Notamacropus eugenii: one gene and its partners. The protein of the gene in region 1 interacts with the protein of each later gene in a pairwise test. Links are inferred from orthologs where the notes say so. Each region holds a gene or a part of one and is shown on either strand. Other genes may lie near its edges.

Evidence for each region.
Region 2: the proteins of REEP6 (region 1) and LITAF interact in binary tests that used the Homo sapiens proteins (3 or more experiments, as listed by UniProt). The two-hybrid records come from large-scale screens. The link is inferred for Notamacropus eugenii from reciprocal best matches to the Homo sapiens genes REEP6 and LITAF.
Region 3: the proteins of REEP6 (region 1) and PTPN9 interact in binary tests that used the Homo sapiens proteins (3 or more experiments, as listed by UniProt). The two-hybrid records come from large-scale screens. The link is inferred for Notamacropus eugenii from reciprocal best matches to the Homo sapiens genes REEP6 and PTPN9.

Annotation. Positions count from the first base shown.
Region 1 is NC_092875.1:62,873,741-62,881,729, reverse strand, and holds the start of REEP6 (receptor expression-enhancing protein 6), read right to left. Parts: upstream 3,055-7,989; 5' UTR 2,811-3,054; coding exon 2,696-2,810; intron 1-2,695. Other genes in the region: PCSK4 (proprotein convertase subtilisin/kexin type 4), read left to right, coding at 5,969-6,457. UniProt on the Homo sapiens protein: Required for correct function and survival of retinal photoreceptors. Required for retinal development.
Region 2 is NC_092872.1:91,387,450-91,394,418, reverse strand, and holds the start of LITAF (lipopolysaccharide-induced tumor necrosis factor-alpha factor), read left to right. Parts: upstream 1-3,913; 5' UTR 3,914-4,108; intron 4,109-6,969.
Region 3 is NC_092872.1:240,285,401-240,293,039, forward strand, and holds the start of PTPN9 (tyrosine-protein phosphatase non-receptor type 9), read left to right. Parts: upstream 1-4,600; 5' UTR 4,601-4,657; coding exon 4,658-4,744; intron 4,745-6,080; exon of another isoform or gene 6,081-6,166; coding exon of another isoform or gene 6,167-6,205; intron 6,206-6,485; exon of another isoform or gene 6,486-6,869; intron 6,870-7,639. UniProt on the Homo sapiens protein: Protein-tyrosine phosphatase that could participate in the transfer of hydrophobic ligands or in functions of the Golgi apparatus.

The DNA of each region.
Region 1 (7,989 bases):
CAAGGGAGGGTGAAATAAAGAGAAGAAAAGATCTTCAGCTAAGAGGTTGGGGAGGGGAGAGTTTAGGAGGCTTGAAGAAAGACATAATTTCAAACAGCTTCTGTGGGGAATGAGATAATGAGAATTCTGCACAATTGTCCTGCTGACTGAGGGTAGGACCTTGCACAAATCACCTCTGCTCTGTGGGCTCCAGTTTTCTCATCTCTAAGGGGAGTTAAGTTGACCTCAGTATTTTGGGGTACTGAGGAGCGGTAGGGCTTGGAGCGAATAAGATCTGTGTTCGAATGCCCCCTCTGCCACTTGCTAACTGGGTGACCACAGTCTGAGTTTCAGTTTCCTCATCTGTAAAATGGGGATGATAATAATACTATCTGCCTCACTGCAGGTTAAAGTTTGAATAGGAAATAGTAAGTATAATAAAGCACTTTAAAAACCTTTCTATATTGAACAAGGTTTCCAAGTGCCTTTACTTACTTGTTATATCTCATTTGAGCCCTACAACTCAGTAAAGTGGGTGCAGTTATTACCCCCATTTTATAGAAAAAGACTCTCGGAGAGGTGAGCTGACCACAGCTGACCTCTACTAACAACTAGCAGAGCCAGCAACTGCAGCCGGGTCTTCCTGATTGCAAGTGCAGTGCTCTAGCCACTATACCTTGATCATCATCATCTGAGGGAGCTGGGTAATCATGAACAAGATATTTCACTTTCCTGGGTCTCAGTTTTCTCCTCTGAAAACTGGGGAGATGGGGAGGAGAAGGCATATTCCATTTAATTCAACAACCTGCCCTCTAAGAACTTACATCCTACTAGAGGAAGAAACCTGTACAGAGAGGTAAGTGAATGCAAGCTAATATGGTCTCTTCTTGGGCAGCTAGGTGGCACAGTGAGCCTAGAGTCAGGAAGACTTGAGTTCAAACTTGACCTCAGACATTTACTAGCTGTATGACCCAGGGCAAGTCACATAATACTGTCTGCCTGCCTTAATACTGTTTCCTCACCTGGAAAATGAGCTGGAGAAGGAAATGGCAAACTACTTCACTATCTTTGTCAAGAAAACCCTGAATGGGAGTCTCTTCTGGCTCTAACAATCTATCAACTGACATGTAACAAGTAGCTAGAATTTATATAGTTCTAAATTTTACAAATGTTATCGACTTCAATCCTCACAACTACTTTGGCAGAGAGGTGCTGTTAAGATCTCCATTTTACAGATGAGGGAACTGAGGCAGACAGAGGTTAAATGACTTGCCCAAGGTCACACAGTAAGTATTTGAGGTCACATTCAAATTCAGGTCTTCTTACTCCAGGCCTCATCTCTACTCTGCTACTTACAGAGAAGCTCAACTGAGAGCTTTACAAATTCAATTGAAAGCAGTGTCAGGAATATGCTAAGTATCTGAAGCACCAGGAGGGAGAGAATATTGGAAGTGCTCCCCGAAGTTGGTATGAACTGGAATCACCCCTGGAATCAGCCTTGAGACATAGGGTGGGTTGTCAGAGATTAAACTTGAACTCCCTGGCCCAGCCTCCCAGGCTGGGCTTTGGCCCCTAGGGCTGTCTGCCAGGGCCTTGCACAAAGGCAGCACAACCATTCTGTGCTCTGTCCCACGAAGCCAGCCACCTCCTCCCCCTTGCCCCAGAGCAGACCAAGCAACTGGAAGGACCAGAAACAGATAATCTGGGGATCTCCTTCGAAGAGGGCCCCAAAAAGGGAGAGAGCCTGGACCCAGGCTCAGTAGACCTCTGGGTGCCCAAGTCAGACTTTCAACATGGCCTCTCTCAGAATGTGCCTGGCACAGCACTCTCAAAGTCCAAGAGCTGGGGGATATCAAAGGGCAAGATGATATGATACTCGTCCCCACCAAGCAGGGTTTCCCAGATGGGCCCAGGAAAACTCCTAGAAGGGTCCTGAGAACAGAGAACTAGACCTGACTGCCTAAAAGTCCTGGAAGTAAAGTGTCCCTAGGAGGCTGATCTGCTCCATTAGGACCAGACAGGCTAGTTATTGGTAGTACTGGCCCCACCTCTCAGGTCCTCCTTTACCCGAGCTAAGCTGCTTTAGCCTCAGGCACTATACTGTCCCCTCCCCCATTCTTTCTGGCCTTTGTGTGACTTTAGGCAAGGGTTGGTTTCCCCCTCCATTAACAGAGAGAGCTACACTAGATGGCCCTAGATCATTTCCCAATTCTGTGGTTCCGTGTTCCAAGGTTATTCTACAGTTGTGTGATTTGGGGTCCTGAGCACCAGAATAGGGCTCTTCAAGCTACAACTCCTATAAATACGAGGGAATCTTCCCCTACCTACTTGCCCCCTTGGGAGGGACTGCAATCCAGGGGTGATGCTGGAACTTTTCCAGCTGCCGCTGTGGGATGATAGCAGATCAACCCCCAACCCATGACATTTCAAGCCAGTTAATTAAAGGTGGTGGAGAGAGGACAGAGAATATGAATTACCAAGGGTAGCAAGTACAACAATTTCCATAAAGAGCCCTACCAGGAACTAAGAGGTTCGGGTTCTGGTCTTTTCTGAACAACCTAGGGAATTCCCCTTATCTCACTGGGCATTGGCTTCTTCATCTACAATATGGGGAATGAGATGCAGCTTTTCGATTTCTTAACTCTAAGTTTCTATGGCCAGAGGATCTCTGAGCGCCCAAGGTTTTATCTGGAGGAGGGGGCCCGGAGGTCCTTACCTGTAGCCATGTAGTACTTTCTGACCCCGGTGACTTCCTCCAGCTTGCCCAGGACATCGGTGACAAAGTTTTTCTGCTCCAGGAACCTCTGGAAGCGCTGCTTCAAGCTACCCATGGCTCCTGGGACCGAGGGGGGAGGAGAGGGGACGGAGGATGACTGGACCCGGGTCCAAGGGGCGACCTCCAGGGCTTCCCCGCTGCTCTGCAGCGGTGCTGGTGGTGTCTCCCTCTCCAGGCTCCCAGTACCTCCACTCCTCCGGTCCCCCGGTCCCTCCCCTTCCTTCCCTCCCTCCCACCTCGTGGTCCTGCAACTGCTGGGGACGACCTGAATCCGCCCCCTGACTATAGGATTGGACGGAAAATCGAGGCGGGGCCTCGGTCGGCCCACCCTGCCCACACTGGCCAATGAGAACGCGGAACGGACAAAGGAGGCGGGACTTTTCTCCCAACCCGTTCCTGCCCCTCCTCGCACCGAGTGCCCCGAGCCACCCACCTGTGAGCTAGGCGGGAGAGAAAAGAGGGGGCTGGGCCTGGGAGAGAACTGGGACGCGGAGGAGACAGGTAGGCGAGAGGCTAGGGGAGACCCAGGGGAGACCAGGAAGGCCCAGTTCTTTATTTATGGGCCCCCTCAAGGTCCACAAGTGCCAGGTCTCCTAGGTAAGTTAACGTCCCTCCCACTCCCAGACCCCAGCCAGTCTAGGCTCCTCCCCACCTCTCCTTTCCCTCTCCCTCTCCTTCCTAACTAATCCTTGGGCTTCCAAACTCATTACTCCCACACCTGGAGCCGAAGTACCCCGGTGAACCAGTCTTATGCTTCTCCCCACCCCCCAGCCTCCACCCTGGTCCATTTTACATTCCAAATTTTTCCTCCCTCTTGACATCCCATGAAGAAGTTCCACTTAGTATTCTGCACACAGCAGGAGTTCAATAAATGTTTGGGAACGCAATGTGATGTAGTGGAAAGAACCCTGAATTTGGAAACTAAAGACCTAGTTCATTCAACAAAGATTAAATGCCTCTGTGTATGGCACAGTGCTCAGTTCTGAAGGTCAGGGACACACAAATAAAAAGTATACAATTCCTGCCCACAAGGAGCTTGTGTTCTAAAGTAATAGAAGATACATGTACACTTACCAAGTTGTGTGACCCTGGGCAAGTCACTTAATTTCCTTCAGTCTCAGTTTCTTTGTCTGTAAAATTCGAATACTAATAGAACTAGCTCATAGGGTTGTTGTGAAAAACCAAATGAGATAATATGTTCAAAGCTTCTTGTCAATTTTAAAGCATTCTGTAGTAAATACTTGTTTTTATCTTTATTATAAAAATGATACAAGAAAGGGAGTGGTGCCCTATTTTGTTGGGCAATAAAATTCAGTGGAAAGGTTACCTTGGAAGTTAAATCTAGTACTTCATTGAAGTAGGGCAAAAATTCTGAGAAGCAGAGATGGGGAGGAAATGCATTCCAGTTATGGGGGGTGGGGAATGGAAAGAACTGGAGCCAGTCCAGGGAGATAGTAGCTCTTTGAGTTTGAGAAAACAACAGGACAGTTTACCTGGAATATAGAGCTCCTAAAGAGGAGTGATAGAATGTAAAAATGAATTTGGAAAGGTAGGTTGGAGGCAGATTATGGAGACTGAGAAATTTGTATGTTAGCGTATAGGCAATAGGGAACCACTGAAGGTTTGGGGTTGTTATTTTTAAATTTTATTTATTTATTATTTTAGGCAATGGGGTTAAGTGACTTGCTCAGGGTCACACAGCTAGCAAGTGTCTGAGGCTGCATTTGAACTTAGGTTCTCCTGACTTTCAGGGCCAGTGCTCACTCCACTGAGCCACCTAGTTGCCTCCTGAAGGTTATTTTTAGCAAGGGAGTGATATGGTCAAATTTGGACCCTAGATAGATGGATTATCTTGGCTTTTAGTATAAGATAAATTGGAGAAGGGAGGGTGGACAGGGAGATCAGTTAGGCTAGAAGTGATGAATCAATCAGTCAGAAGAATTTATAACATCTACTACGTGCCAGACACTATGCCAGGGACATAAAGACACAAATGAAAATACATACAAAATATACACATTATAAATCCAAGGTTACGGGCTAGGGGAGGAACCCTAGTTCCATGGTAGGGGGGAGGGTAGAAATACCTCAGATAGGAGGGAGGGCACAGCCAGTACAAACATCAAAACAAAAGATTGTACAAGGAAATTAACAAGCAAATAGGGCAGTTCAGCTGGACCATCCAGTGGTCCGAATTAGGGTAGGAGCCATGATGAAGCTAGAGATGGACAAGATCAATGTATAGGACTTAGGACATGATTAGATGAAATTATTAGAGCAGAAACAGTCAAATTCCAGCTCTGCCTCTTGCTAAAAATCCCACCCTTTACAGGAAGCCTTTCTCCATGGCACTAAATTCTAGTGCTTTCCCTTTGTTGATTATCTCAGATTTATCCTGAATACAGCTTGTTTATACGAAGTTATCTTCGTGGTGTTTCCCCATACAATTAGATTGTAAGTCCTTGGAGAACATTTGACTTTCTTTACAATGCCAGCTCTTAGCACCCAGTATCTGGCACATTTATGGACTAACCGATTGACTAGCAAAGCAGTGTGACTTTGGACAAGTCAGTTCAGTTCCCTTCTCCGTGCCACACTTTGTTCCTCTTTAAAATGGGGATTTCAGTATTTGCAGGGTATACTGTAAAGTACTATAGAAAACTCTAGCAGTTGCTACTGAATGACTGAATCAACTCAAATCAGAGAAAGCCCATAATTAGCCTCAGGCCACCCTCTTTGCCACTAATTAAATGCTCTCTGGAAAGACCTTTTCTGACTTAGAGATCGAATCTAGTGCCAGGGTGGGGAACCTACTTTTATTAAGGGGATTTGTTCGGTGAAGTTTGGATTCAGTTAAAGGGCCACACTTGAAGACGTGGAGGGTCACATGTGGCCTTGAAGCCGCAGTTTCCCCAACCCTGATCTAGTGTAACCTTCTCTTTACACAGAAGACTACTGAGAGTCAAAAGTGGGGCATGACTGGCCCAAGGTTACACAGCGAGACTGATGAAATCAGAAGTCGAACCTGGTTCTCCAGGTTAAGAATGAGGATGGAAGAGGGAACTAGAAGAGAGAAGGTCCTATCCTGTTCCCACTCCCCTGGGGTGTCTCCTTCTCCCGGTAGTCCTCCCCCACTCCCCAAGGCACCGGGGGCCGGTTTCCCAACCCGATCCCCGGCCGTATACAGTTAGGTGGTCGCATGGCCCCCTGGGAATGAAGCCCCCCCCCCCCCGGGGGTGGGGGGAAGGGGTTGCCATGGAGCCGAGAAGAGGCGTCCAGGGATCGGGGGTTGCTTCACTCTGGTTCCCAGGGGTCGGGGCTACTCCATTCTTGCCGGGGGGTGGGGGTGGGAGGAGGGGGCATTTAAACAACGCCCCCCGGGACCCTAGAGACTGTTTGTCCGGTGGAAGGGGCTTCCCCCGGCCCCCGACTACCATGGGGCTGGGCTGGACCCGGCTGAGGTTGGTTCGGACCCTATTTCCGACCTTGGTCCTAGCCCTGGCCTTAACCCGGGTTCTAGTCTCCATCTCCCCAGAGAAGCCCAGACAAGAACTAGTGACCGGCCGGGGTCGCGGCCGGCGTCGAGGGGGCCACTTCTCAGCGGTCCCCATCTATGTTAGCAGTTGGGCTGTGCTGCTGCCTGGAGGCAGCCAGGAGGCCGAGCGCTTGGCCCGAAAGTTCGGCTTTGTCAATTTGGGGCAGGTAGGACACCCGGGCAGCCTCTCTAGGGCTCTGGGTTCTGCCAAGGGCATGGATGCCACCTTCTTCACCCCTCCTGGCCTTCAGGTGGGAGCTTCTCAAGCCTTCTCACTCCACCCCCACCCCCAGGCACAGTCTCCTCCCCATCCCCCAGCATTCAGCCATTGTACTGCCCTCTCCATACGTACTCTGATCCTCCCTGGCTACCCCCTCCCCCCAACACTGGCACAGATTCCTCCCGACACCATTATACTTTCTCATTCTCAGTAAACAAGTTATTAAGCCATTCAGCTCTGTGCTGGGCCCTTGCTTTGCAACAAATGAATTTTTAAAAGGTACTGACTTAGGGGGATAACATGTACTCACTGGGGGGGGAAACCCAATCCCTGACCTCCGATAATTTTGAGAGATAAGATAAAATTGTTCACAAATCAATGGGATACTAGGTAGCCAATTCTGACAGAAAAGCTGCACCTAACCTAGGATGCCTTACCCTGCAGCAGAGTGGAGGGGAGGGAGCCAGGCTGCCTAGCTAGAAACTGGCTTTGACAGAGGGACTGAGAAGGAATACGTGGAGCTGGGTTTTGACCAGGTAGGATTTAAAGTACCTGTGGGACACCCCGGTGGAGTTTGGAGCTCAGGAGAAAAGTTTTGCTAGGAGCTGGCCTCTTTGCCAAGTGAATACTCTTGTTTATACACTTTGCATTCCAGCTGAACGGGACTGCCGACTCTTCTGCCAAATCCATGGGCTGTCTACCATCTTCCTGAGTCTGTCTCCATAAGCTCTAGCCCTTGGCAACTGGGGCCACTTCCATGCCTTCCGTTAGCTACTTTTTTTTTTTGCTTTTATACATTGCCATTTTTTAGATTATTAGATATTTAGATATTAACAATGGAGCTAGAGCTGAAAGGGACTGAGTGTAAAATCAATTTCACAGAGGAGGAAACTGAGGCACAGGTAAGGATGTAGCTTGCCTAATAGTAAACTTCAGAGGCAAGAACTCAAGCTCCAGAGCTAGTAATTGAGAAATCTGGGCCTCCTCCCCCTTGCCCTGGCAGACTTTGTTACTTTAACCCTAGTGATGGTTGAAAATTATTCCTCTACTGAGGCTCCATTGTTAATACTAAGACTTGCAACTTGACTACCTGATAAATTAAAAGATAATATTTAGAGGGAAGGGAATTTTCTGGCACTAAAACATAACATTGTATAAAAGGTAAAAAAAAAAAAAAAAGGTAATGGAAGGAGTAGAAGTGGCCACAGTGCTTTTTTTTTTTTTTTTTGATTAAAGGGATCATCCCTTGAGCAACTGCTTAAAGAAGTCTGTTCATTGAAGGGATGTATCTCACTCAAAGTGAGAATGCTAGCCCTAAAAGGGCTATTGCATCCTGGGCTATCTCCAGTCATCCTGATGAATATCTGGCCACAGCACCCAGATGGCTCAGGAAAAGAAAGTGAGTTTGGTGGCCTTGCACAGCCCTCCCTCATTCATATCAAAGTCTACTGCAAGTCACGTCATCATGTTGGCGTCATG
Region 2 (6,969 bases), on another chromosome or scaffold:
TTATTGTTCAGGTTCAAATTCCAGGAAACATAACAATTCATGCAGGCAGTATGGGGATTGAGAAAAGCCCTGGGAGACAGAGACAAGGAAGTCCCTTTGATTGATGAAGGATTAGCAAAGTACTGGTCCTTGCTAGGAACCAAGGGGAGGACACCAAGGTGGGAAAGAGAGGTACAGAGATCAGAGAGAGTCAAAGACCTGTCAAGGATTCCAGTGAATGGAAACAGAACTCAGAGTCTTAGAACCTCATGCTTGGAGACCAAGCAAATAGTATTGGGTGATCTTTGGGGTCAGATCTATCCCTGAGATGGGTGTGGAGACAGTGACATGCTAAGATTAGCCAAGTAATGGTGGCAAACCTGTTTGCAGACATGAAGGGTAATTCTGAATTCCTAACTCAAATTACCTTGGTCTTAGTGTATCTCTGGAACTGGAAAGTGTGACCCAGGAAGCCTGGGGGACATCTGTGTACAGTTCTTCTGAGAAGTCTGACAACAACAAAGGAAGTTGTCTTTTTCTGCAGTCTCATTTTTCATGACTTCTCCTTTGGCTGTTAAAAGGAAGAGTGGTATTCTAAGTTTGGGGAAGCAAGCTAAAGGCTAAATCCTATTTTGGGGTGAGCAGTTTATCTTCTTGTGAAGGCAGGAACCATGGTGAGAACTGGATACACATAGCTGATGCTCTTTCATGCTTTTATATGAAAAACAAGACTAAAACACAGAAGGCAGTCTGGAAAAGTCCCCGAGATTTAACTTTGCCCGCCAGGCAGGGGCTGCTGTTCTGATTACAGAGGGTCACCATCTTCAGACAATTAAATTAGCTGTAGGTAATTGCCTGCTTGCAGGCAAGGCTCTCTGGCTTAGCACAGAAGCGCTCTGTTTGTATGTCTTTCTCGGCAAACAATTGCATCTCCATTTCAGGGCATGATCTCAGAAGCCTTGGAAAAAAGAGAACATTGTTCAGTGATAAATATATGCACCACTAAGTTGCCTTGGTGAAGAGGAAGAGTTCACTTACAGAGGCTGGCTCTGGCAACTACTTATAGTGCTCAAGTCTGATTATGTACGCCCAGAGGGGAGAAAAAATTAGCTGAAATCAGGGCTCCACTTTCAAGACTGGTTCATGTGATACCATATGTAACCAAGGATAGCAAATACACTTCCAAATCCCCTATGAAGTCAACTGAGAGCTGGAATCTCCCTAGACTTGGCAGTAGCAAGAGTTCAGTTTCCTGTGTACTAGGAGTTAGTCAGTATGTTTTTCCTCCTGCAGGGTTATAACAGGGTAGCACATGAAACAAGTGGCATTATTTTTTTGTGCCCTGCTGGGAAGCTGCTGGTTGGAAATCCAAGTGGTGTTTTTTACCTCGGAATTTTTACAAAAAAGAAAGGAAGGAAGAAAGAATTAAGAAAGCAAGGAAGGAATTGAGAAGGGAAGAGAGAAGAAATGTAGGGAAGAGGGAAAGTTGGAAGGAAAGAGGAAAAAAGAAAGAAGAAAATTAAGAAAGGAAGAAAATAAATTAAGAGAGGAAAGAAGATTATAAGTTTAAAACTATTCTAATAAGTAACCTCAAGGTCCTACTAGTAACTTTAAACATTTGAAAAAAATAAAGATTATTGCTTAAACTCGAGTTAAATGTCTGTTATGTTCAATGAATCAAGGGAAAGGAGATAAAGAAAAACTGTGAGAAAAAGTGAATTTTTAAGACACATGGAAAATTAGGCATATGATATATTTTTACTACATCATATTAAAAAATCAAACGAGTTTGGTTTTTGCTTTACTATTTTGGTTTCTTTCCTATCCCCACCTCCAAGTCTCTTACTTACTGGTACAGGACTCTGTTCAGGGATAGCTTAATGATATGGTCTCTTTTTGTCTGCCAAAGAGCCCTTCAGTTGAAAGGTGACAGTGAACCAGTTATCATGGAGGAAACATATGGTCTGGTTCTAAGTAATAATATATTGCTAAAGTGCTGTACTTATTGAAAGTTTACAGAGACGAAGATGAGTGACATCAGGGTATAATGCAGAGAAGGTCAGCGTTGGAGTGAAGAAGATCCAGGTTCATGCTCTGCCTCTGACACGTATAGCTTTGAGACCATGGGCAAATCATTTAATCTCAGTGCTTTAGGTCTAGACAATTTTCTAAGACTATAAATTGTAGAGAAGTTACCAATCTGCATTGGTAGAGGGAGTTTCCTCACTTGGGAGTTCCTTATACCGATGAAATCATAGATATAGTACCTATCCATATAGATATATACACATAGATGACGACCAGACATTCCCTATATTGATGAAATCGCAGGTCCAATGTTTATTCATACACACATAAGCACACACCTTTTAACTCATCAGAGGAAAAGCATTGTTGGGTAGATTCTTTATGGAGGTGTTATGGAAAGAAATGGAGAAGTATAACAGGATAAAACATACTTGCTGTGTTGCAATCCATTCTGATGAGATCATAGATTTATTGATGAATTTTTCACAAACTTTGCCAGACTGATATATAGCCCCTTTTAAAACTTCTAGTTTTGCTGCACTGAGTTGGGTTGTCATGGTGATTTTGGTGGAAGGACTCTGGGAGTGGGAGTCATGAGACTGGGGTTCTAGTCCAGGATTTGTCACTGACTTATTCTGTGACCTTGGATAGGTCATTTCACAACTACTAGCTTCCCTTTCCCCAATTGTAAAATGGAGTTCTCTGATGTTTATTAAAGGAAAATTGGAGGAAGTTGTGGAGGAACTTTGCATAGAAAGTTAGTGGTGGAGATAAGATTTTGAGTTACTGCTTTCCATTGACATTTGTGACTCAGAATTCATGGAAAATGGGAGCAGACATAAATCATTGGTTCAGCTAGGTCTGTCCCAGTGGATAGAGTGCCCGTCCTGGAGTCAGGAGGACCTGAGTTCAAATCCTGTTTCAGATACTTACTAACTGTGTGACCCTGGGCAAGTCATTTAACTCTGTCTTAGTTTCCTTATCTATAAAAACAAGCTGAAGAAGGAAATGGCAAACCACTCCTGTATCTCTGCCAAGAAAATCCCAAAGGGGTTGGGGATGGGTTGGACACCACTGAACAACAACGATAATAGGTCATTCTAGAAAGGGCAAAGAGGACAGAAGAAAGATTGCGTATAATCAGCTCAGTGAATTCCCCTGGGGGAAGTGGTCATTGGCTCCTCTTGAGAGAACGAACAGGGAGAAGTTAGACTGTAGAAGGACCACACCAAAGCGTGTGAGAAAGAAGTAATCGGGTGGAGACTGAAATCTGGGAAGGGCAGACAGGGGATGAGAAGAGTGTAACTGGGGAAGGAAATGAAGGCAAAACTGGACCAAAAAGGGAGGAAATTTGAGGGAGAAAAGAGCAGTGCGATATCTGATGTATTGGGAGTTAGGTGACCCCGAGTCCTAGTATCTAGTTGTGTCCCAAAATAACTGTGAGCCTGGGAACGTGACTAATTCTCTCTGGGCCTCAGTTTCCTCCTCTGTAAAATGAGAAAGTTGGACCAGATCAAAGGTACTTAACCTGGAGTCGGTGGACTTAAGGCGGTGGGGCGCGGATAGATTTCTAAGGCACAGTGAACGTGGCCAAAAAAAATTACATCTGTATTTTCGCCAACCTTTGGATTCTTTTGTAATCCTATGGATTTCATGCATTTCTGATTCTGAGGAGGGCTTTACCAGACTGGAAAGGGGGCCATGACCTAAAAAAGGTCTGGACTGGACGATTTTTAAGGCTCCTTCCAACTCCGAGAGTTTCTGAATCAGAGGATGGAGAGGCTAAAGGGCTCTTCAGCAACTGGACAGGACGGCCAGAGGGAAGCCACCGGCTAACGAGCAGGACCAGGGAGCCTTTAGCCACAAGAGGAAGGGGCTGGGCAGGGAAGGGAAGGGGGCGGAGAGCGAGACTAGGCGGGACGGGACGGGAAAGGACGGGACGGGGCTGCAGCTCTCCGGAGCCGGGCCAGGAGGCGGGGAGAAGCCGGAAGCCTGTCGAACTGCGCTGCCCGCCCCGGTCCTCTCAGACCCGCCCCCTCGCCTGCCCCGGCGAGCTCAGACCTCCGGCTCGGCACGGCTCGGCTCGGCTCGCTAGGCGCTGGTAAGTGCGGGCCTCCTCGAACCCAGACTGCGGTGGGTGGGGGGTGAGGAGGACCGAGAGCTCGTCTTGGTGAGTTTCGAGGCAGGGGACGGGGGTTCAGGGAGGGGCAGAGGGTGTGATGGCCACCTTCAGACTGGTCCTGGATCGGAGCCTGGCCCGAGGGGAGGGGGCGGGCTGCGGCCAGCCCGGGGCCCCGCCGCCGCCTTTCTTTCCTCGGCACCTTCTCCCTGGATGGCTCCTCGCTTACCAGGAGCTGACTGTGTTGGGGTCGGGTTCGTTTAAAAAAAAAAATCTGGGAGACCTCGGGGCATACCTCGATGGTCTCTCCGTCCCTAATGTTCTGGTTTCAGACGTGCTTAGAACCCAGGACTGGAAGTCCCCGAGTGGGCAGAAGTTGAGTCCTTCCTCCCACGCTGGCTCAGTTTAAGGAGGGCAGGCAGGCAGGCATCTTCCCTCCTCCCAGGGCAATCCTTCTGGGCGAGTTAAAGGGGAGAAGAAAACACCACCCACACGTCCTCCGGGACTTGGGGGCAGCTTCAGGTGGTTCGGGACTTGGTCCTTCCTTAGGCTCTTTGGTTGTGCGGCTCCGAAAGGAAGTTCGTACGAGCTGAAGTGCCAACAGGTTCGCACCGCGTTGGACCACCCTGTTCTGGATCTGAAGGAGGCCAGCCAAAGGGAGGGAACTTGCCTCTAGGATATGGACTGACAATCCCTCCCGCCCCTCCCTCCCCCCCCCCCCGCCCCCCATCCCCCCATCCCGGCCTGTGTACCGGAATGGAATGGAAAGGAAAGGGTCTAGAAGCTTTGAACTGATCAGGAGGGGGAAGTTCTCGGTAGGTAACTGAAGGAACTTAGGAGCTGGAGCTGAGGTGTAGCAGATGTCCCGCGGTTGGGGCAGGATGAGTGTCGTGGACGAGCTTGGTAACTGTGTCGCTGCTTGCCAGAGGGACTGGCCAGACTATTTGCAAAGGCATGTGAAGTCACTGGTCCAGTTTGCAATAACTGGAGGAGGTTTCTATTTTTATTTCCCAGGGGAGTCCAGTGATTTGAGTGAGGTCAGAGACTTGGAGGCAGAGCCAGAAGGAAAACTCAAGCTATGTGTTCAAAGTCAGAAAAAAAAAAACCCTACTGTGGTAGCCTCCAGATCCCAAAGAAGGACTCATGGCTCTTTTTGGAAACAGTTTGTGGATACTTTCATGGGCGCAGTTGCCACACTGCTCCTTCACTCAGTCATTCAAATATGAGGAGACAGATGTTTGTTCACCTCTGTTCGACATCATATGACGAACACATTACTACTTCCCTTCATTTGAACCTTGAGACAGGAAGACCTGAGTTCAAATATAGCCTCAGACATGCTCTAAATGTGTGACCCTGGGCAAGTCACTTAACCACCCTCTGCCTCAGTCTCCTTATCTGTAAAATGGGGCTAATAATAGCACCTACCTCCCAGGGATTTCATGAACATCAAATGAAATGATGTTTGTAAAGTGCTTTCCAAATCTTAAAGTTCCATAAAAATGTTGTTATTATGATAACGTTATTACTAGATATGTAGTTCTTAGCTCCTGAAGTGAGAAGGTGGAAGTATTCACATTCCTGAAATAAAAGCATGTTGAAGATCTGCTTACTGTCCATTCGCTTTGGTTACTGACTTCTTTCAGCACCTTACAGTTTCCTGTTTCCATATCTAGACTAAAATGTTAATTTGTTGTTTCATAATCTAGAGCACATGGGATGGCCATGTCTCCAAGCCTGTGTGATCCTGGGCAAGTCACTTAGCCTCTCTGCCCCTCTCCTCACCACCAGCATTGTCTAACGTGTTTTCTCAGCAGGGAATTCCATATATCACTGGGGTGAAGTTCCCACATAAGGAAACAGGGAAAGGAAGCAAATCATTTATTAAGCAAATATTATGTGCCAGGCACTGTACTAAACACTTTACAAATATTATCCCATTATAACATTAACGATTTCTTTTAGACCTGAGATTTTTACTCTTGTTTCCAAGAACGTAGAATTTTTGAATAACAGTTTTAAGTATGATTGATTTCCTATGTACTCCTCTGTATTTCATCTTATGCGTTTAAATACATGCTGAGAAGGGCTCCATACTTTGTCTCAACCAGATGGCCAAAGATGTCCATGACATATACAAAAAAGTTTAAGAACTTCTGATTTAACATGTCTGGTCCAATGGAATTCATACTAATTAGACATTGGGAAACATCCAAAAGGGATCCAGGTTTATTGTAAAAATAATTGTGCAAATATGTGGGGTTTGGTCTTAGTTTAAAACTACAACTATTTCTCATTAAGTCTGTGCTGAAGCTGGTTTTCTTTTAGGCTATAGGATTATTTATACTTTGCCACTGCATGTTTTTTTAATGGGATTGAGTTCATTTACCTTTTAAAATTATTATTGGGAAATTCAAGGTTTCTTGAAGTCATCTCGACTTCTAAAGTTGGTGTTTTCTTTGCAAAAATGTTGCCAGGAAGATTCAGCTGCTAACCTTCCTAGGTAGATAGATTTCTTTTAGGCAGTTGAGTTTATGTTCTCTCACTTGAAACTTGAAACTAAAGTTTTGCCTGAATTATATCAACTGTAAAAATCCCCCGAGACACGTTACTGAAAAGTAATGGCTTGCTTTAGATTGTGGTAAGACTACTTCATCTTTCATAGTCCCTGCCTCCTACCCCCTAACCTCAACCCTCCTCATCTTGGGCCAAGTTGCTTTTCTTGCAAGTTGGCAGTTTTAAATTATTATTTCCTAGGCATGCGTTATTAGTAAAACAATAAATTCACTGGGATGGAAGATAGCAACATGGAGTACAATTAATAGCTTTAATCCAAACATTTA
Region 3 (7,639 bases), on another chromosome or scaffold:
GCTTTGACCTTGCACTCCAGATAGCTTTTTCCATTGAGCTAGTTTGGTGATTGTGACTTAATTAAATACAACCCATCCTTACTAGCTTCCTCCATCAGGGGCCACCGGCATACTCTCCAGCTCAAAAGATGGGAGCTGGTAATACTTTGGTCATTATTAGAAAGAGGAAGTAAGGTCTTCCCTTCAACCCCTTTCCCATCCATCCTCCTTGTTCCTTCTTACCTGTTGCTACCCCATTTCCCCAAACATCCGAAGGTCACACACCTACACCAGCCCTGGAAACCACAGCTGGATCCAAATCTCAGCTCCCAATGCCTGCTGCCGTAGGCAGGTCACCCCACCTTTAGGGGTTTCTGCTCATCCATCTATAAAATGTGGTGGGAGGGGCCTTGTTCATTTTGGTCTTGTTCACACAGTAGGTGCTTAGTAAGTACTTGGCTTGAAATACAGATAGTCCCTGATTTAGAAATGCGTGATTCTAAAAAAATAGGATGAGACTGGGCAACCTTTAAGGTTTCTTCCAACTCATAGTCTATGATGCTTCCAGACTGAGGTTTGTAGATAGTTCCCACTGCTGTGATAATGTCAGGACAGGGTAAGCTCTCAAACTAGATCTCATAGACTGACTACAATTCTGGGTTGTTTCAGGAAGCTGTTGGGACTGCTGACTCCTATTAATTCCCCAGGATCTAACTATGTGCTCTGCTTACCACATGGTATTAATCTGGTCATGCTTAAATCAGTTCTGTGTATATGGCTTTCCCCTCCACTTAATAGTATTTTATTTTTTTCCAGTTACATATAAAGATAGTTTTCAACATTTACATTATTTTTAATTCCAAATTTTTTCTCCCTCACTACCTTCCACCCAAATCTGAAGTAGATTATACATGTACAATCATATTAAACAATATATGTATGAAAGGGTGGGACTAGATGACACTGATGCTCTAGGGTCCTATGACGAGGCTGTGTTGTCTCCTTCCCTCTTATCCTCTCAGATTCATCCACTTTCTGGTTATGTTTTTCCCCCCTCCTTCTTTCATCAGGTTGTCTTTCATTTTTTTATAACCACTTTAGCTTATCAACACATTTAGTGCTTTGTCATACTACCTTTCTGGGTCCCCTCTGATCCTCTGAGCTCTTTGAAAGAAAGAGTATTCATGTAATTATTAATTATTACTGTGCTCTGCCTGAGACTTCCTATGCCCGTTTATCCCCTTTTTCCTCTTGGCTCCAGGCCTTCGACTCATCCTGCCCTCATCCCCCAAACAGCCTTCCCCTCGTCTCCCTAGCCAGCTCCCAGTGCGTCCTCAGCCTCCTCCAAATCCCTCTAGAACATTGGCTGCTTCTATGAAGCCTGAGTTCCAAGTGCTTCAGAAAAGAAAGTCCCACCAAGAGAGGTTTAACCATCTACCCCTACTTCAGGCTTCATGTGAATTGTGTTGTTTGGATTTGTGTTTGAACTGTGTTTGATTGCTCCAAGAACTCACAAATGAGTTAAATAACAGAGCCTGCCCTCAGGAAGAGTTAATCTCATATTGATCTTGCAACTGTATTAGTTTTGTAATGCTAAAGGGAATAAAATACATATCCTACAAAATGGCAATGGTCTAACCTTTCATTACCAAGCACCAGATGTCCACCCATCCATTTATTCAGCAACCATTTATTAAATGCTTAATGATGTGCAAAGCACTGTCCTAGGCACTAAGAAACATGTACAAATCTTCAATACTCTATATGACGTAAAGTTCAAAAACAGAATGTAATGAGAGCATAAAGGAGGGACCAAATGTTATCCTAGAAAGGAGGGATTTGAGCCAAACCTTCAAGTCTGGGGTGGAGATGAAGAAAGTCTGAGACAGCTAGAGAAGTACAGGAAGCATCAGCAAAGGTGCAAAAGGAAAATGCCGGACCATAGCCAATGTGGTCCAGTTTGACTGCCTCAATGAAGAAGCAGAAACATTGTCATTGTAAAGGGCCTTGAAACCCAGATTACTCAATAGGCCATAGGGAGCTCTGGGAGAGTGCTGAACAGAGGAGTGACATTTGTCAGATCTGTATAAGTGTAATTATCATGGGATTTGACTAGGAAGAGAATGGAGGTAGGAAAACAAATTAGGAAGTATGGCAGTAGGGTAGCCTGGTGGTAATGAAATCTTGTAGCAGGGTTATAGCAGTGGCAGTAGAAAAGAGGTGATCAATTCAAGAAGATATTAGAGGGGGAGAGTTGCCAGAACTTGGTAGTCAATTAGATGGAAATTCGAGATGGAGAAGAGGGATGGTCAAATAAAATACTGAAGTTGCCAGCATGGAGGTTAGACAGTATAGCCCAAATCCAGATGAGGAAACTGAGGAAAGGCCAGGTAACTTTCTCAAAATAGTTACCTAAATGGGATTAAAATGAAGACTGAGCTTTTCCATAATTGCTAAGCCCTGTCTTTGTCTCTCAGTCAAAAGTCTAACTGCTCTGTGACCCAGAGGGTTTCCAGTGTCTGAAAGTAACAGGGTGGCTAGATTCAGACCTGAGTTGCCAGTGGTCTGGGTGACTGGCTTAGCTGCTTAAGCATTGACTTAATCATGGATCCCTATCGGAAGATTTCTAAAATCTGATGCAAAAAAAAGCTAATTGAAGTCCTAGCTCTAGTCCCTTTCCTGAACTCCAGAGGCTGGACATATGGGCTTTCTTACTGTTCTTCCTCAGAGATGACACTCCATGTCCCTCCTGAGTGCCTTTGTTAACTGTCCCCTTTGCCTATGATGGCTTCCCTCCTTACCTCCATCTCTCAGAATCCTCTAGATTCTTCAAGACCCAGCTCAAGCACCACCTTCCTCTTGACATCCTCCAAATGCCAGTGCCTTTGCTTGAAAAAATGACCTTGTATTTATTTTGTACATACTTATACATGCATGTTGTCCTCCCCCTCTCCAACTTCCTACTTAAAGGGCTGGAACTTTTCACTTCTGTCTTTGTATGCCTGGCACACACTAGGTATTTTTTTAAATGCTTGATTGCAGAGGTTGTGGCATGATCCACAACCATGGGGGTGGGAGTACAGCATTAACCTCCTCTGTTATCCTAAACTGGCAACCCAGTAACATAGCCCTTTTGGCTATGTGAATCTGAATGACATTCAAAGGCTTTTGAAAGCAAAGAGATTCCAGAATGAGGCAAAGGTTTGGAGAAGGATGTTTTCTTTTGGGAGAACTAAAAATAGTCAAGTCGATGATGGATTACAGGATACAGCCAACAACAAAATAGAGAGATGGTACAGTGATCAAACAGGCTGGTTGCTTGGACCCAATAGCGCTTGCCCTGTTTGGCAACCTTTTTAAGGGTCCCATTCAGCCTGAAATTGGCATCGGCAGTGAAAGAGGCTTGTGGGTTTCGAACATTTGGGTGGTAGCTGAAAGTGAATCCAAGTTAAAATTCATCTCAGTAGAGACTTCTCCGACTTGTAATATATTCCCTTCCTCCACTATGGAGCATCAAGTCTCTTGTGAAAACACATACTCCCTTCTCCCTTTATCTTTCTTCCACAGACACTCTCTTTTTCCGCTTTGCTCCTTCAACCCCCAGGGAGATTTCTCCCTCCCCCAAAGCCCTTTTCTGCCATCACCCTCCCCCACCCAGTTCCTCTCTTCCTCTCTCCCTCCCTTCCCGGATTCCTCTCTGTCTCCCTCTCTTGGAGAGACCCTCTTTCTCTGCCTGCTTCCTCCTCTCCCGCTGTTTGTGAATGAGGCAGTTTCTGAATGGAGCTGCTGGAGGTTCAGGCTGATCAGGGGCAGCAGCACTGGCCGTGAGAAGGGGAGGGGGATGTCTTCTCCTTCCTTCCTCTTTTCTCTCTTTCTCCGTGGCTGCTTTTGAGGAATAAGGACTTGAGGAGGCAGAGACGGAGGTGGCGGGGTAGGGTTTGGATCCTCTCAGGACAGTTCAGATACGGAGGGGATTTGTGGGCTCAGAGTAGGAGTATTCTGGAAGGTCAGGAGGGTATTTCAGTCTGTGTCAGGGGGATTTCAAGCGCTAGGACACAGCCCGAAAAAGTTTTTATTTTTCATTGAACGTTTTTTCTTATAGAATACTTGCTTCCTCTGTTTTTTGGGGGGGGGTGGGGGGGTGTAGAGGGATGAGGCAAGAGGAGAGTTAGAGGATTCCTCATCACCCCCTCTAGTGAGCCCGGGAGAAAGGCAGGACCATGCGTGGCTGCCCAGCTCAGGCCGGGGGTGTGGGGGGAGTCGAGGGGCCGAGCAGCAGTAGGAAATAGCGAGGAAGGGGAAGGAGGGCGAGGGGGGTTCGAGGTTTAGGAAAAGGCGGGGGGAAGGAGGGAGATCTTTCCCGCCCCCCTTTACCTTTTCAAATCCGATTGTTTTTCCCCTTTGGCTCTGATTTTTGTTTTGTTTGATTTGGTTTTGCTTTTAGTTGCCCAGCCGGTGGTGCCCTTGGGGGGCGCCGGCCCAGGCACACCTGGGGCCGGGGGCGCGCAGCCACATCTGGCCGCGCCGGGGGGCGGGGGCGGGGAGGGCGCAGGAGGCGGAGGACGACCAGGGCCGGGCAGCGCCGGGCCGGGCCAGGCCAGGCCAGGCCGGGCGGGGGTTGGGCTGGCGGCCCGAGCCGCCGCCGCCGCCGCCGCCGCCGCCGCCACCGCTCTCCGCGATGGAGCCGGGGCCCGAGGCGGGGCCGGGGCCGGGGCCGGGGCCCTGGCTCGACATGGCGCCGGAGCTGACCCACGACGAGGAGCTGGTAAGAGGCCGGGCCTGCTGGGAGGTGGGTGTGTCCGCCCCGACGGGCGCGGGGGAGGGGGGAAGGGAGGGGGGGCAGCGGAGCCGGCCTCCGGTCCGCCAGTCAGCCCGTCCGAGGCCTAGGCCCGCAGCGCCCAGCGGCGCGAGAACGGGGACCGCGCCCAGCCCGGGTTGGCCCTGTGCCCCCCCGCACATCACAGAGCCCCTGCGAGCCCCCCCATCAGAACCTCCTGCGTGAACCCCATCTGGAACTCCTGTCCTTGGACCGTCACAGCGCCCCTGCTCGCTCCCCACCCCGATAAGGAGCTCCTGCGTGCCCCCCATCTGAAACTCCTGTCTTTGGACCATCACAACGCCCCTGCTCGCCCCCACTTCAGGAGCCCCTGTTTCTGGACCCCTCCCTTCTCACAGCACTCCCTGTCTCTTCCTACCCCCATCACAGAGCCCCTGCCCCTTCTCATAGGAGCTTCTGCTCTTCCAACCTCCTACAGAACTCCTGTCTCCCATTACAGAATCCCTGCCCTTAAACCCCTCCTCCCTGAGGGCAGCCCCTGTGCTCCCCTCACACCGTCACAGAGACCCTGCCCTTGGACCATCACAGCACCCCTGGACCCCTCCCTCATCACAAAAGACCCTATGCCTCCCCACCCCACCCCCAGCCTCTAGACCCCACCCCCTTTACCTCTGGCCCTGTACCCCTCCCTTATCACAACAGCCTCTGTATCTGGAACTCTCTGCTATCACAGTGACCCTGCCCTACCTTTGCGCCTTATCCCCTTTCTATTTACATCGTCCCTGCCCCAGGACCCATCCTTATAAAAAAAACACAAACCTTCCCTTATAGCGCCCCTGCTCTTGGACTTCTATCAGTGCTCCCTTGCCCCTGGAACCCATCCACATCATAGCTCCCCTGCTCCCCCATCCCAGTGACACCTGCCCTTCTCTCCTTCCTTCGAATTCACAGCTCCCATGTCTCTCAGCTCCTTCCCTTTTCCCCCTCAATGCTCCACACCTTCCCCCAAACCCCCGCCCCCTCAATTTCTTTACAGCTCCTATTACCATCCCCCCTCCCCCACTTCCAATTACTTCAGCTCCGGCTTTCATCCCCTACCTGCTTCCCACAGCATCTGTGGCTCAGCACAACACTTTGGGCTCACACCTGCTGCTTCCAGAGTTACCCTTCTATTTAGAGTGACCCTGGCCTGTCATACCTTCTAGTTACAGCCACCACCACCCCTTCACACACACACACACACACACACACACACACACACACACACACACACACACACACACACACACACACACACACACACTAAAGTGCTTGAAGTTATTAGCAGCCCTGACCTGAAGGAGGACTTGGAAGAGACAGGGACAGGCCTGCCCTGTTAAGGTCACCATCTTGGTTTGAATAGTATCATGAATGTGTGTATGCCTGACAACCAAATCTCACCATAAGCAGGTAAACCCATCGTCCTCTGAGGAAAGTCTATAACTGTGCCCTTCACTGGACATCATGATTTCACTAACTAGTTAATGGCTTAGGTACGGATTAGGCTTGTGTCCTCAAATCTAGGCCCTCCCATTATACTGTCCTAGGACATGTCCTCCCTGTTCCCTGTTCATCTGCCCCACTGATGTTTCCTCCCAACCCCCTACCAGGCTTGTCCTCTCTTACTGCCCCTCCCATTCTCATCTGACTATCCTCATCTTTCTGCCCACACTGAACTCCATTGTCCCTTAAAAGCTTGTGACCTTCAATCCAGAGAAGGAAGTGATTCTCTGTACCGTTTTGGGGGCATCAAAATGTTGTGAACTCTGCCTGCCTTTAGGGCCCTCCCTACCCCTTGTTCCCATTTCAGGGAACTTTTTGCCCCTTCCCACTGGCTCTGAGGAGGATATGAAACCAGGGCTCAACCCTGTGCCTGGCACATAGTAAGAATTTGATCAATGCTTGGTGACTGGCTACTTCCTAGAAGCTTAGAGAACATTTGGCCCTAAGCCCTGAGTACTTCTAGTCACAGCCCTGCCCAGATATAGTCCTACATCTGATTGTCTGTTAAAAATCCAAATGGAAAGAGATGAACCACGACTGAAACTCATTTCAGCACTTTAGGCCCTTCAAGGTAGGTAAGAGACTTGGAGAAAGTCTCCCAAACTAATCATTGGTGTGTAGCCTTGTTTGTGTCCTGATAAAAAAGCATCTCCATTTCCTTCCATTTATTGAGAGGACTGGTTTCATATCTGGCCTTTAGAATGTAGCTATTTCAATACTTTGAAAAAAGAGAATTCTGCCCTGTAAAATCTGTGTTAGCCTCCTCTGTAGTACTGTTCTGTTTCAGCATAAGGATAGCCAGGGCCTAGTAGAGGCCAGGCCTCCAGGGATGCCAGGATCATCAGAGGAAGTCTTCTGTAGTTTGTGGATGTTAACTTTATTAACATCAGTTAATAAATAACTGGTTTTTTCCCCTTACCTTTCCTGGATTTGAAATGTGTGTTTACTCTAAGACTTAAAAGCCAGGGAATAGAAACATTCTTGGGAAGTAGTATCAGCATTTGTTCTGGTTTTGTGTATGAGATGGATGTTAAGGTTTTATAATAACATTGGTTTGCCATTCCTGCTTATCTGAAATGTGTGACTGCAAAGTAATATGCCTGGTTTCTTAGCAACCAGCCATATGAGCCGTACTTACCTGTCTCTCTCTTTCAAAGTAAGCACCTTGGGAGGACTTAATGCTAGGAGCTGTTAAGTTGCTCAAATCATATTTGGAATTGCCTTGAAAAATCGATGTACAGTTTGTTTTTTTAGCATCCTTGACAAGGGCAGTGTAAACCATTAGACTTAGTGGGTGGGTTTGATTTTCCCAACAGCCATGACCAATGGCAGTCCAGATCA